Linked DNA regions of Lytechinus pictus. The protein of the gene in region 1 purifies or fractionates together with the protein of each later gene. This does not show direct contact. Links are inferred from orthologs where the notes say so. Each region holds a gene or a part of one and is shown on either strand. Other genes may lie near its edges.

Region 1 (7,652 bases):
GCCCCCCCCCCCCCCCGGGGTGTTTACATGTGCAAGGAAAGGTTATTCCCAATGACATCATTGATTTTACGTAGTTGAATATTTATGGCAGCTGTCCAGACTTGAAAAAAAAAACCTCACTCGGTGATCTTGCAACTCTGTGTGCTAATGGAACTTTGGTCTTGCTTTCAACTTCTTGCTATTCATATTTACAGGTATCATCCCACTCTAAAAGGTATTCATTCCAATAGAACAACATTTCAACTACCGTACATTGTGGTGAAATTTGAAAGAAATCTACTGACGCTAAGTGTGTTTTTTATGTCCGTTTCGGCGATGTCTGTGATTTTTGTTGACTGTTGTTGGGCACTTCCATATACCAATGTATGCGCATTGTTGTTTTCTATTATTAGTGCACCTTGGTCCCAATTAAGGTCACAACTTTTGTTTTTCAAAAACAAAGGAATACATAAGAATTGAAGAGGCGATTTGTGCGAACTTAAAAAACTACCAAAGTTTTAACTTTCTTGTTACTGGGGCTATTGAAATGAGGTATTAAATGAAAGGTCTTGATGAGCTCTAAATGATGCTATGAAGCAAACACCCGATTTCTCAAATTTATTTTTTTGCAACATACCTACACATGCTTTTTCATTTTTTTATACTTTTTTTTATATGAGAAAAAAAATGATGTTAATGGGTGATTTCAAGTACGGTGTTCAGTGTTGGTTTTGGTGTTGAGAGCGTAAAAAGGCCGCTGAACCGAGCTCCAACACCGAGCTGGGTTCAGAGGAACGATACTGATTGCGTTGTCGATAGCACATGACGTCACGCCTCTGCGCTGCTAAATCATCTCAACTTCACGCACCATCCTTCAACACGAACTGCCGGAAATATGTCATATATTCCGAGGTCAATCCCAACACCAGCCTGATTTCAAGTACAGTGTTGTGGCTGGTATTGTCACAACACCAACACCAGGGGAGCGTTTCATCAATATTTTTATCCGACAAGTTGTCAGATCTGACATCATTCTGACATCTTTCCATGATTTTGATTGGCTGAGAGTAGCCAGGCGGCTTCTAGAGAGTAAAAATCATTTACTAACGTAAGGTCACTCTCATGAAGCCAGGCCTTCTATCCCATAGACCCACACAATGGAAGCCAAAACCTGAAACTTTCACCCCCGAGATTTCTACTTTCTTTCTAAAAGATCTAGCCCTAAACAGTAGAGGCGCACGGCCAATATTGGAGACTGTCTCCAATGTGAGAGATTATCTCCAATATCAGAGACTTTTGTAAAGAATTTGGGTATCCAATTTCAGAGACAGTCTCCAGTTTTGGAGTCCAATTTCCTTTGTTTACATTTGCTGCAAAAGGATTACCTTGGCGGCAAATAAAAATGTGATAAGCAGATTCCTCATGAAAAATTACCTCTTTTCACCGTCTACTTTAAATATTCACTGTCTACTTTTGTTTTGATAAGGATTTTTGTTGTCAATCACACACAAAACAAATGGGCTTCTGACCTCAGTGAGACAAAATTTTGGGTGGAAAAAATCATGCTTTTGTTGGTGTTGTTTCTTTTGTCCTTTTGCAAAGCAAGTCTCCAATGTGGGAGATTGTCTCCCCTATTCTATTGGAGAGAGTCTCCCATATTGGCCGTGCGCCTCTACTGCTAAATCATGTACATGGGATAAAACTTCATTTCTGACATTTCTACGCTCTCGTTGTTATTTTTTAACAAGAATTCATCAAAAAAATGAGAGAAATATTGTGTAAAGACGGAAGAGACTCGCCCGATGTTTACGCCGCCATCTTGTTTTCTATTGATTTGTTCTTCGCCAACGTTACAGACGCGTGCGTCGGGTAACGTTGGGGAAGAACAATAGAAAACAAGATGGCGGCGTAAACATCGGGCGAGTCTCTTCCGTCTTTACACAATATTTCTCTCATTTTTTTGATGAATTCTTGTTAAAAAATAACAACGAGAGCATAGAAATGTCGGAAATGAAGTTTTATCCCATGTACAACATGATTTAGGGCTAGATCTTTTAGAAAGAAAGTAGAAATTTCGGGGGCGAAAGTTTCAGGTTTTTTGGTGGTACACGCAAAAGTATATGACGGAAGCCCTGGCTTCGTATGAGAGTGACCTTACGCTACGTTAGTAAATGATTTTTACTCTCTAGAAGCCGCCTGGCTAGCTGAGACTGAGAGTGAGAGGCACTGTTCCTATGGACGGTAACTGTCGGATAAAATGAGACTTGTCGGATAAAACGTCCGACAAGTCCTTTCATGAAACGCCCCCCAGATTTCAACACCGCGCCGTACTTGAAATCACCCACTGGGCCACTGTATTTCTGTAATAATTAATGTTTTTGCATAAGCCATAAAACTAAAACTAAAAGTTAACAATGACTGAGTCATGACATGACTCCATGTTGTTATTGTTAACTTAAATTTAAAACCGATCTTTTTCATTTTATCCAGATGCAGACATAAAAAATCAGAGATCGAAACAAATTTAAGAAAAATGGAAAAATCGGATCGGGAATTGATATAAAAATTTGTTACATTAGTAAAGTTACGTTCTTAAAATAATTAGGGCCTAGGTATTACTATTAGAAATCTTCGACTAATCGGTACCGGCACCACATTAATCTGTACGTGTGGGACTAGGGCTAGTAAGGGAACAACGATGAAGTCTTCAACCGGAAATATCAAATCACCGAGTAAAAGGATTTTCCTGGAAGAGCGACACATCAAAGAAAGTTATAAAAGTAACTTACCCTTTAATTCAACGTCGATTTTGCCTTTACTACGATGTCGTCCAGTTTTGTGGCCTTTATTTTGCTGTTTTAAAGGACCGGGTCTGTGCGATGTTTTCGCCATTTTGCACGTGTACCAATACCCGTACCGCGCGCGCTAGCGCTAGCGAGTATATTTAATTTTTTACTTATTCTATGTTCAAGACTCAGTGCAGTTTAACTGTAGCGAGTTTTCGCTCAGATCAGCGGCGTGCAATGAACATCTATCTCCCCTCTAGCTCTATAGATCAGTGGCAAAGAATTATACAAGATTTCAATTTTTATACAGATTTGACATCAAGGACAAACTTGACTGAACCATAAAATGTAAAAAAACAATGGTAATTCCACATGTTCAGGGAGAAATAAAAATTTGTTTCAAATGACAATGGGGAGAAAATTAGGATATTTCATAAAATAAAACAGAAATAGTGAGCGAGTGATGTCATCAGTTCCCTCATTTGCATACCGACCAGGATGTCCATATTTTAAAAATGTCATAACTTTCTTATTTTACATCCGATTTCAATGACATTTTCAGCGTTATGCTTGTTGGATTTTTCTCTTTTTATTCAAATCAAATTTTGTTGGGGTGGACTTGTCCTTTATTAAAAACCAGATATTTAACTTTTGAGACTTGTGATTTTCTTTTTTGAAATTCATATACCACCTACCAAAAGCCTTTTGGTATCCTTTCTTTTTCAAATTGCTTTCACTAAATGCGTGAATAAGAAGTTACACCAGAGGAAAGAGAATATTCTATGCTTTACAATGAAAGGTAATATGTTGAATGATTTTTTTATTAAGTTATGATAACGCACAGTCAAACCTGCTTCAGCAACTGCCTATATAGAAGGATCACCTGGCTATTTTTAAGACCACAAATTTGGTTTTCCTTGAAGAACTTTACACATTATGGGAGTCTTTCCACAAAGACTGCTTTTCTTGTCTCATTCAACAGGTTTGACTATATGATAAATAAATATCATTATTGTGGGGGATTTTGGAGAGAGGGGCAACTGCATCTGCTCCCCGCTTTCCAGTCCCCCTGGCAGTATTTTCCCCTTCTGCACACACCCTCTCACACAATTACCAATCTTCCTAGACCCATATAGCATTCCGCTAAGTTCTCGTTCCCCTTCTCTCTCCCACACAACTATACACAAACCCACGATGGCCCTGTCTTACAAAGAGTTACGATTGATCCGATCAATCTCAAGTATATGGAAATCCATTAATTTCATATTTTATTTTCACGAAATTGGCTCATTGTCCTTTGAAAACAGAGAGAAGCATACTGAATTGTCAAGAAAAAACAGTGAATGTATGAACATATGTCATTTCTAGAAAATATTTTGAAAATGTACTTTAGATGTTGACTTTTCTGGCTTTCCATAGTTGCGATTGATCAGATCAATCGCAACTCTTAGTAAGACAGGCCCCTGGTCCTTAAAAATTAACCATGTCCAAGTTGTGAAACACATACAAATACACTTGAGAACAACCATTTACAATATATACATCATTATTTTCTAATTAAAATTTCATTTCATGTGTAAGCAGCAAAACATTACAAACAACAGGAATGCCAAGAAAATTTTACACTTTACAGGATAAACAAAATAAATGATCAACAACAGGTCTTCCCATCAGGGCATTGTTTCTTTTGTTATCTTCAGTGATGCATACCAAATTTATCACAAACTTACTCTTCACCAATCAAATGCCACAATTTCAGTATCATAAATATGCATTGTAATTCCAACTACTAATTACAATCTTTGTGAAATGTTGGTCCATTTTTTTTCTCACCCTATTTTCATCTTCATACAGAGTGTGGATTACAATGAAAATTCATAAGAAAATGTTAACTTTGAAAGAGTTGTCCCATCTCCTTTGATAATATAATCATTATCAGGGTTCCCACAAAAATTTGAAAACACCAATTCCATGACTTTACCATGACTAAATTGCTGCTTTCCATGACTTCCTGTGACGTTCTGGGAGTTATGTAGAATTTGGGATGTCACAAAACTGGGAAAAATGGAAATCATGAATACCAATTATAATAGCAGAGTATGAGAGTTACGAATAACGACAAACTGGAAAGCTGCCATAGCCAAGAGGTAAATGCGATTCCATGACTTTTCACAAATTTTCCAAATTCCCTGACTTTTCCCTGACTTTCAATGAACAAAAAAATTTCCAGGATTTTCCATGACTGTGGGAACCCTGATTATATATATAGGTCATGATTTTCCACTCTTGGTCACATTACATTCTCTTCTAAAATCAGCACATCCAGGGAGCGATTTCATATAACTGTTTGTAACTTACACATGACTTTATGCACAACTGGTGATCCTACAATGTGTCAAACGATTTATCCCTATGCAGCTGACTAAATCACCTGAGAATATGTTCCAGTCCTTCATAGAGTCGAACATCTTAAACACCACCCAGTACTTCAGAGACTGAACAGCCAGGTGTTATTCTTTGGTTCATTGCATCAAACAAGAGTTTTAAATTTTATGCGAATGGGACCTTACATAGCATATAATGACTGGGCTTTTCCAGGCAAAGCTTTTCAAACTTTTTTTGGAGGGGGAGGGGTCTATGACCCATGACTGAACTTTTGACCAATCTTCGCACTCAAATCTATATATGTGAAGTTTATCCATCTAATGATTTTTCTGTTACTGTGAGAACAAGATATTTTTAGGTGTATAATGACCTGCTATTGTTTACCTTTGATCTCACGAGCCTAAAATCTTGTTAAATCATCCTCGCTGCCAAATTAACACGTCACTTGAATTTAAAATTGATCCATCAAACTTATTCAATTATTCTAAAATGAATGGACAAAAGGTGATCTAAAAATACAATGCCTCCAGCAATTACCTCTTGATGGCTGAAGGTTACAATTCAGGTGTAAAGGCCTTGAAAACTGAGTTAACCAAATCAATCAATCAATCTCTACTTTTAAGTATTTAAGTAGAGTCAATTCCCCTTATGTTAGAAATGGGAAATTAATTCATTCATCGTGATTTAATCAAAGCATTTGAAATTGTGTAACTTAAGCATGATTCTGTTCTGCAGGGTATTCCCTCATATTCATACTGAAATTTATATTCAAATTTCATATTCTCATGTAAAATATAAATTTGATTTTAACAAAGAGATATAAAAAATAGGATGAATAACCCATAAATAAATGATGAGATAAATATGACATAAAGCCAAAAATTTACAATAAATCTGAGTTATGTATCATTGTTGAAACAATAAAAGGAGTTGTAACTCAAAAGGGAAATAATTTGTTAGTGAGAAATTAAATCAAAATCCACAGAAAACCTACTATGGAAAGTGTAAAAACACATTTTTATTGCATACAGATCAAAACAGCTTTGAGCTGGGGGGTGCAGAGGGGGAAACCAAGTTAACATAAACAGCCAAAAGGAGGGTTACTTTTATACAAGACATCTCTCACAAGTGCTTTCATTTCATGTGCGCATCAAAGTTGTATAATTCTCATAACTAAAAACCTAATCATGCAACTCCTGAAGAGTTCTCTCCTGTGCATGCTAATCCATGTTTGCAATAAAACAAATCTGGGTATGACTCCTGTGCATAAAGATGCCCTTCAGGAATCTAGATCTGACAGCTAACTGCATTCAAGGTGTTGGTCTGACTTGTGATGATGATCAAATTGGCAGCACACCACCAAACAAAGATCACGTAAAGGTCATCGGTATCTGGAAAAGAATATACACACATGCAGATTTCCTTAAGAAAATGAAATATTTACATGATAATTGAACTGACCTTCTTTTGCATGTAAATTGCAAAACGTTAATAAATCTCTCACTTGGAATAAACAATAAGGGACAATAAGGATTCTCTCATGGAACTGCTTACTATTATAATAATATCCCTTTTAAATTGATTAGAAATAACTAAGAGTAACTTGAGCATGGTCAAAGGATGTGATAACGAGAGTGTAAATTTCAGGCACTATCTCATCCTAGAATCAATGCGAATGAAACATTTTGGGTGCAACAAGGTAACATCCTGCTGAAATGCAAAGGCAAATGACACATACTTTTTGTTTCTTCTGTGACATAAAAAAAAACAGGAACTGATTTATTTATTTATTTATTATTTTTTGGACACAATTGCAGAAGAGCCAGACAAGAACAATTCCATCAGGGAGAACTAGTTTCTTGCCTGGGTGATCTCTGTGAAAAGGGTTATCTAATTTACCATTGGCATACATTTTGAAAGAATATTCTTTAAACTTCCTAAGCTCCGCCTCTTCAAAAGAGCTTCAGCACTCATCTTGACCATGCCATCAACTGCTAATCCAAGTCACCATCGCTAATAATTTACAATAGACAATAGTACCGGTATGTCACTTTCCATAGTTCAGCACACGCTTAAAATAGAATTAAATGCTTTCATACAATACCTGTCCATTGCCTTTCTTTCCCTGGTGATGCTACAGCATGTCTGACATTGCACCTTTTCAATGAGACTACGAATAGCTAGTCCGTTCTAGCAAAGCTTCATTCCCTTTATTTAGCTAACAACTGGTGAATTGACATCACTGCCAGAATGAGATAGCTCTTTTTATGGGGTGGCAAGTTGAAATATCCTTTCAAAAATTATTCAATAATCTACACAAAATGTTTTGATGCTTAAATTTTATAACAGCATATGAGTTGCATATTTAGCAATTAACTTAAAAACGATTCAACTTAACAGGGGTCCTTACAAAGAGTACTTACTTGTACTTGAGAAGGATATTGCTGGTAGGCTGGTGTTCCAGCCTGGTCTCCAACCATCAATTCAGTTGCTGAAACAGAA
Region 2 (7,776 bases), on another chromosome or scaffold:
ATTCTGGTAAGAATTTGTGCATTTTCACACCATTATCACCAACCTGCACCCTTCCATCTCAGAGATACCACTATACAGTATATATGAAAAGGTCATTGACCTTGAAAAAAAAACACTTTCCCCATCCCGTATTCCTCCTAACTTTTTTTGGTAAATGTTGACACCCATACCTACTCAAATCAGTTGAAAAACCATTTCCAATAATTTTATTCCAGATTGGCTAGTTTGGGGTCTAATTTAAGGATACTATATCGCTGCCGAGATCGCACATGTTCGCTCTATCACCCAAAAATCTGCAATGGCCTCCGCGGGGGTTCCTTACGGCAGGAAATTTGACACCCTTCCAAATATGGCATGATCCTAAAAATCAAACATATCGGCCGATTGAATTTGAAACACGAGCTGTTGAGGTGCGCGCGCTCGTTTTCAGAACGAAGTTGCATGCAACTGAGCGAAGACATCCGATGTTCGGAGCCAAAACAAAAGAGGTCCATTTGGTAAGTAAACAGGGTTGTTGATTTTTTTGATTTTTTTTATTTAAATCTGATTTTTATGATTTAAATCAGATTTTTTTGATTTTTTTCCAACGAAAAATAATGGTCACACTTAACAAGTTTTAAACTATATTTAAACTGTTTTACACCAATAATAGTGGTCAAGTAGTCTTTTGAACATTGTGTATTGTACTATTTGACACAATAATCCACTTATATACAGGTAATTTTTTTATTTTTTTTTTATTTATTTGCATTATAGAGAGGGACATTTTATGGAAGCCCAAGTAATGTTATGTATTATGTATACATTTAAACTCTTGAAATTTTTATATCAGTCAGTTCAAAACATCCGAAGTGTTACTCCAATGCATGAAGTACTCAAAGAACTTGAGAATTTCCAACAAAATTGACATTATTAAAGGCCTGTTAGGGTTCTTATACTGCCCTTGGGAATTCTAGCTGGGAATATTTCCTAGAATTATCACATGGGGGATTTTAGCTAGGAATATTTCCTAGAACTATCACATGGGGGACTTCCCAACTAACAGCTGGTAATAGCTAATAAACAAAGGGTTTTTGAAAGAATGGGTATTAATAGTAACAAGGAGGTACATACAAGTAGTTCAACTGTTTTGTAAAAGTATCCAAGTTGTGGACTTTGAGCACCTTTGTAGATTTTATATATTATTTTATTGAAGATTTAACAGTTTGGTGTAGATACAGAGAGTTATTTATCATTACTTCGTTAGAAACTTGTTGTTTTCATCAGTTTTGCTTGTTTTACAATTTGAAAATAAAACAGTGGTGTTAAATCAGACTCCATGAGGGTGTATCATTCTTTTAAAGTATCTCTAAAGCATGTGGAACAGAAATGAAAATGATTACATTGAAAGTATCTGTTAAGAAGAAGAGAAAATAGAGAAAACTAATTTTTTTCATAAAAGTTGATTTAAATCAGTGATTTTTTTGAAAAAAATCAAGTGATTTAAATCGCGATTTAAATCATGATTTAAATCGACATGATTTAAATCAAACAACCCTGTAAGTAAATCATCATTATTTACCGAGTTCTATATCAAAATTATTGATAATAATAATAATAATTAAAATCGGCATTTGCACAGCTAAAATAAATTATTTTATCAACAATTAAGCAATTATTTTGGGGTCTAAAAAAGTTAGAGCGTGATGACATACATTATGATATTCAACATTTATACTACAGAAATAAACATTATTTTTATTTGATTCAATGAATGTATTTTATTTTTGGTCCAATTATACTTAAGTGTCCGATATTTGGGCACTTTAGTCTTCTTTACTCTCTAAGTCTCTATCTTGACTTTGGTCTTTGTCATGTTTCAAACAAATTTTATTAAAATCGGATAACATTGTTTGTCAGTAGAGGCGCACGGCCAATATTGGAGACTATCTCCAATGTGGGAGATTATCTCCAATATCAGAGACTTTTGTAAAGAATTTTGGTATCCAATTTTAGAGACAGTCTCCAGTTTTGGAATCCAATTTCCTTTGTTTACATTTGCTGCAAAAGGATTACCTTGGCGGCAAATAAAAATGTGATAAGCAGATTCCTCATGAAAAATTACCCCTTTTCACCGTCTACTTTTTGATAAGGATTTTTGTTGTCAATCACACACAAAACAAATGGGCTTCTGACCTCAGTCAGTCAGTGAGACAAAATTTGGGGTGGAAAAAATCATGCTTTTGTTGGTGTTGTTTCTTTTGTCCTTTTGTAAAGCAAGTCTCCAATGTGGGAGATTGTCTCCCCTATTGGAGAGAGTCTCCCATATTGGTCGTGCGCCTCTACTGTTTGTTATCCGATTTTAATAAAATTTTAAGCATTTTGAATTTGATCTGTGAATTTTACTCTATTTATTTAGATTTAAATATTTTCAGCCCAAAGTATCCCTTAAAGTCTACATTTTATGAAATTGGTACATATACTTTCTAAATTATGACATTTCAAAACCAAAAACTAAACCTTGAGGCTTGAAATTGAACTGTTCGGTTGTCTTCAATCACGACACACACGAATTCCCATGTATGGGACTGATAGTGATACGCCTAGATCTAATTGAGTAAAAAAATGGCCTTACACAGTCCTCTTCATCCTTTCGTCTACGTTCCTTCACTCGTTGAGAGACTTTGAGAGTGTCTTCATTTTCTATTTGCTCTGCCAGTGGTCCACTCGTGAAGACAGGGTCTCCTCTTTTTGGTCGATTCTTCTTTGTTTTCCCCATAATAATATATTACTAATACTATTGTGATGTCAATATCAATTAACACAATTCACGTGTACCGTACCGGTATAAAATATACCGGTACTGTTGCTGTCGACATGTCGCGCTCGGCAGCAGTTGCAGCATGCATGCATGCAGTCAAAGACCTTATAATATATTACGGCATGCAGTAGTATAGTCAGCATAGCATAGCAGCGGTCACGTCAGCAGCTAGCCGAGCTCTCTCTGGCTAGCGCCTGGCGACTAATAAGCACGCGCAAGCAATGAAGCTAGCAGATTAAAAAATAAAATAAAATAAACAAATTTCTTTCTTTTTTGTGGGTATTATAAATGTTGATTTTTTCTAGGCAAATTAAGTCAGTACATTCTGCCTACATGTTTTGTTTTGTTGCCTTGCTAAATTTTGTTGTTTTTCTTTACACTTAAAATTAAAGTTGTTGATCCCCCGGTTGATAAGGGAAAGTAAAGGCGGGCCGCCAGGGGCCCGTTTCTCAACACCGTCATATAAGTCTAACTTCTTGACTAAATCAGAGATAGTGAGCTACTTGTCCGCTAACCGTTTCACGAAGCCCTCTTTACCAAGATCGGGTACAACAACCTCACTAAATATTTTTGACACCTCCGAACCTGTCATTTAAGGGAGGCGCGATAGCTCAGACGGTCGGTAGAGCGGGGGTTTCGGATTCTGGTGACCCGGGTTCGATTCCCAAGTGGTGCGCTAGTGCCCTTTGGTAAGGCACTTATCCCCGCACTTATCCTCATTACCAGGTCCCTCGGAGAGGACCTTAAGCCGTTGGTCCCCTGGTTGCTTGCTCACAGGCATTCGTGCTTTCTTAGCAGTCAGGTAAAACAACCTCTATAACATAACTTCTTTCTTAATGACGTAGTGGCCGGCATCACGTGGGTAGACTATGACATGCAAAAGTGCCTAGAAATTTGAAAATTACAATCTTACGTAAAATGCAATCATAGAGGTTGAAATTACATCACAAAACAAGTGGGATAATGCATTCAATGATCCTTGTAATACAAAGAAAACTATAAATGTATATGTTTTTTTAATTATATTATGATGGTGATGCTGTTTTGTGCGCGGTTCCATGACTACCACAATCATGAATGTTATTATTTTAGTTCTTTTCGCTGTGAGCTTTATTGGATCCCTGAAGAAGACGTATGTTTAACGTCGAAAATTTGGAATTCAAAATAAACTGTTGGAACTAAGTACAATACATTACCACTTTGCCTCATTAATATCATCTATGTCCAACACGCGGAATGTAATATCGTTATATATATATATATATATATATATATATATATATATATATATATATATATATATATATATATATATAAAACGGAGATTATGAAGTTGATATATATATATATATATATATATATATATATATATATATATATATATATTAATCATAGATTTTGAAAGGAGCGTATAGCTCTCAGAAATCTGTCCCAAAAGGTACAGACAAAAAAAAGAAAAGGTTATCACCCAAAATGTAAAGTCATTATAACCCCAAAAAAAAATTTGACAAGCAAAAAAAAGGTTTTCACCAAGAAATGTAAGGTCATTTAGTCCAAAATACATGCATTATTTTTATTGTAAATGATGAATTTTTCTCACTCATAAAATATCATAAATAGTAGGGGGCATTTTATATTGTGTCCCTCTACTATTTTTGTCGACGCCCCTCCCCCCGTCCCCCTGCACCCCCCCCCCTGGGATTTCCGCCCATGCATGCATGAGTGCCCATGATGTGACAAAAAGAGAATTTAAAATCCGTTTCTGAAACAAATCGTGAAAAACACATCTGTTCATGGGCATACGGACTGTGAAACTATACGTGACCTTTCAAAGAAATCAATGCGCTGAAGATGGAGGAAGCGCACTGTAAAAGACGCATCTAAACACACGTTGCCATGACTGCAAGATGACAAAGGCGTTTCTCTGCCTCCAAAACAGGAAAATGAAAAGGCCTCGCCGCCAACAGTCGAGGTTTAACAGTAAAAAGTACCTGAGTAAAATAGAAATAGACTGCTTCGGCACATGGAATAAGATAATTGTAATGGTTTAGTAAATGCCGTATATATATATATATATGACGATATTACGTTCCGCGTGTTGGACATAGAAGATATTAATGAGGCAAAGTGGTAATGCATTGTACTTGTATATATATATACAGTATATATATATATATATATATATAGTGTCGAAAATCTGTCTATCTGACGGTCAATCGGATCGGGGTCGCCCTAGCCACTAACCCGTCTCTGTGGTCTAGTGGTTAAGGCACCGGCGTCAAAGCTGGGGGCCCGGGTTTGATTCCCGGCAGAGACCTTTTTAAGGCATTGCCAATTTTTCCAAAGGGTAGATAGCTCTGGGGAACCTTGATTTAAGCTACGCCTACCATTGTTCTCTTCATCCATTTCTTTCACAAAATATTTAAATAAAAAAGCTGTTGTACATGTATAATTTCACACATTTGTATATATTATATATATATATATATATATATATATATATATATATATATAATTATATATTGTAGCCGAACCGACTTTCTTTCCTGACGAGCTGGTTCGTTTAGGCTGCAATATGCAGTGCGTCCCCCAAAAAACTATACACTTTTGAAATGGCTGCCAAATAAAAAATGTATCACCTCGGGGGAAAGCCAATATACAAAACAAACTGGAAGAAATTGGAAGGCTAATTCAGGCCTATCTAGCCTAATTTCCATACCCTTTGTTTCAGTGGGCACTGCTCGCTCAAGCATGAAAGTTGGCTTTATTGGCTTTCCATATATATAAGTCTCCCCCCCCCCCCCAAGTGATACATTTTTTATTTGGCAGCCATTTCAAAAGTGTATATTTTTTTGGGGGACGCACTGTACAACCAGTTGGTGTAAAGGGCCGTCGGCCTTGCACTTCTGACTCTTTTTAATTGTTCCTTCTCACTCAGTAACTTAGATTATTTTAGCTCATGGATTTCAACATTTCCGTCATTCCGTATCTCCATTATCTCAATCATTCTAGTATTCAGTATCTCCGTAATTTAATCATTTCGGTATCTCAGTAATTTCAGTACTCTCAGTATCCTCACTCATCTCAGTATTTTCCGTATCTCAGTAAAGCCAGTATTCTCACTCCTTCTAGTCAGTACTTCCAACACTTTCATACTTCTGCTTTTCCGACCATTGTTGCTAGCTCCATACAACAAAATAACGACAAGTAAGAAGCAAGCATTCATCTCTAGCTCTTATAACTTTACTGAAGAAATCAAACTCATCCTGTCCCAGCAGGTTCCATTGAAAATTGGGCAGAGTTTCGCGCAGAAACCTCTTTGTCAAGCATATGGCATGGCTCGTAACCGAAGATGTGTGTGTGTATTTGAGTTTTGTCAAACGTGTATCAATCAGATATGATTTTTTACGTTAGGAACGACCTTTAACGCCACCATCCGAAAGACGTGACCAGGTCCCGAACCTCGAACCTCCGCATCAATTTGTAACTTCCCCACATAGCTTAGATTGCAGGCCCACGCTCGATTATGGTCAACTTTTGGTTACCGCCTCTCATCAAATTGTCAGCTATAGGCTGTTAAGCTAGAGCCTGATTAAAAAAAAAAAACAGTTAAATTCATAAAATAAATCTTTCCAGCAACGGCAATGGTGTTTGTCGCTTTTTTTATACCCAAACAGTAAGGAGCAATTAAAAGTAAATAATATGAGCATATAATTGTAAACATCGTTTTTTCTCAGCAAAATAATTAGTAAATTTTATACATTTTAAAGAAAATACCTACATAATCGATTACAAACAATCGATTACTGAATATGCAACTATATATATTACAGGGATTAAAAATATATTCTACGCTCTTCACTGTCACGAACCATACTGAATTAAATAAACCTTTCATTTCGTAACAATATATATAATATATATTGTTTAGGGAGATATGAGTGGCATTAATGCTTCCAAATAATTGAAAATAAATTTTATAAGAAGTCCTTTTCACGATACAAAACTGCCGTTTTCAGGTCAGCATATCAATAAATTTTGCTTGCATTGACAACTTTAGGCTTATCTGGATTCAAATGTCGCTTGAATTAAAATCTGTCCTTCTTCAGATCATATAGCTCGTGCTTCGCACCGCATCATTATATGCCTCTTGTTCATGAATTAAAATGGTGCTGCAGCCTTATGATTTTCAATTCAGATCAAAGAGAAACAAAAAATTTCAGCTCTGGCTTCACGCTCGCATTATTGGTTAAATAATAATTCAAATGACTGCCCCCTTCGGATCAGTAGAAAAAAAAAATCAGCTCGTACTTCGCGTTATAGCATTATTGGTTCAATACAAAGAGATGTATAGTATACATCTCTATGGTTCAATATGATAATCTTGTTCATGCTTCAAATTAATGGTGGTTATGAAGTAGACCCTAAGGCTAAAATGCAGATAGTACGCAGAAAAAATGCAATAAGTGATATTCTCCATCGCAATATCAACCCCAAAATTTCACACAAATTTTTCTGTAATCCACCCCCCCCCCCCCCCCTCCCTTGGAATTGTTGGATCCGCGCCCCATCATTACTTTCTGCACCTTCGAGAAAATTAAAAAATAAATAATTAAATCTTTTTTCGGTCGCTACCGTTACCCTCCTACTATTGGTCGCCGGTAATCGCCAGTTTTTGCCGCAACGCAATAACGCAACGTAAGTTTGCATGTATGATTCAAGTGAGCGTGCGTGTGGGCGATTTTTGACAAAGGAGATTTTTTATTTTACTTTGAAGAGGAAACAGGGAGCAGAAGTAAAAGTTGGATGGTGAGTTGGAAGAAAATAGACTGTAGTGAAGTTTACTTAAAAAGAGTGAAAATTGGCACCGTACTCCAGCCTTAGAATCTAGTCTCTAGAAATTACTTTTGTTGAAGCTCCACATTTCTTGTTGAGAATCTGTACGGTACCGGTACCGGTACGGTATACAAATAGCG

The links. Proteins that work in one complex are often made in the same cells at the same time.
Region 2: the proteins of pre-rRNA-processing protein TSR1 homolog (region 1) and bystin-like purify together in Homo sapiens (affinity purification with mass spectrometry; 3 studies listed by BioGRID and IntAct, counting the BioPlex papers as one, with this or other methods). This does not show direct contact. The link is inferred for Lytechinus pictus from reciprocal best matches to the Homo sapiens genes TSR1 and BYSL.

Annotation. Positions count from the first base shown.
Region 1 is NC_087247.1:46,017,639-46,025,290, forward strand, and holds the start of pre-rRNA-processing protein TSR1 homolog, read right to left. Parts: upstream 3,005-7,652; 5' UTR 2,872-3,004; coding exon 2,769-2,871; intron 1-2,768. Other genes in the region: nuclear transcription factor Y subunit beta-like, read right to left, coding at 6,521-6,541, 7,574-7,641. UniProt on the Homo sapiens protein: Required during maturation of the 40S ribosomal subunit in the nucleolus.
Region 2 is NC_087245.1:8,162,673-8,170,448, forward strand, and holds the start of bystin-like, read right to left. Parts: upstream 3,007-7,776; 5' UTR 2,759-3,006; coding exon 2,615-2,758; intron 1-2,614. Other genes in the region: uncharacterized protein LOC135153137, read left to right, coding at 7,607-7,609. UniProt on the Homo sapiens protein: Required for processing of 20S pre-rRNA precursor and biogenesis of 40S ribosomal subunits. May be required for trophinin-dependent regulation of cell adhesion during implantation of human embryos.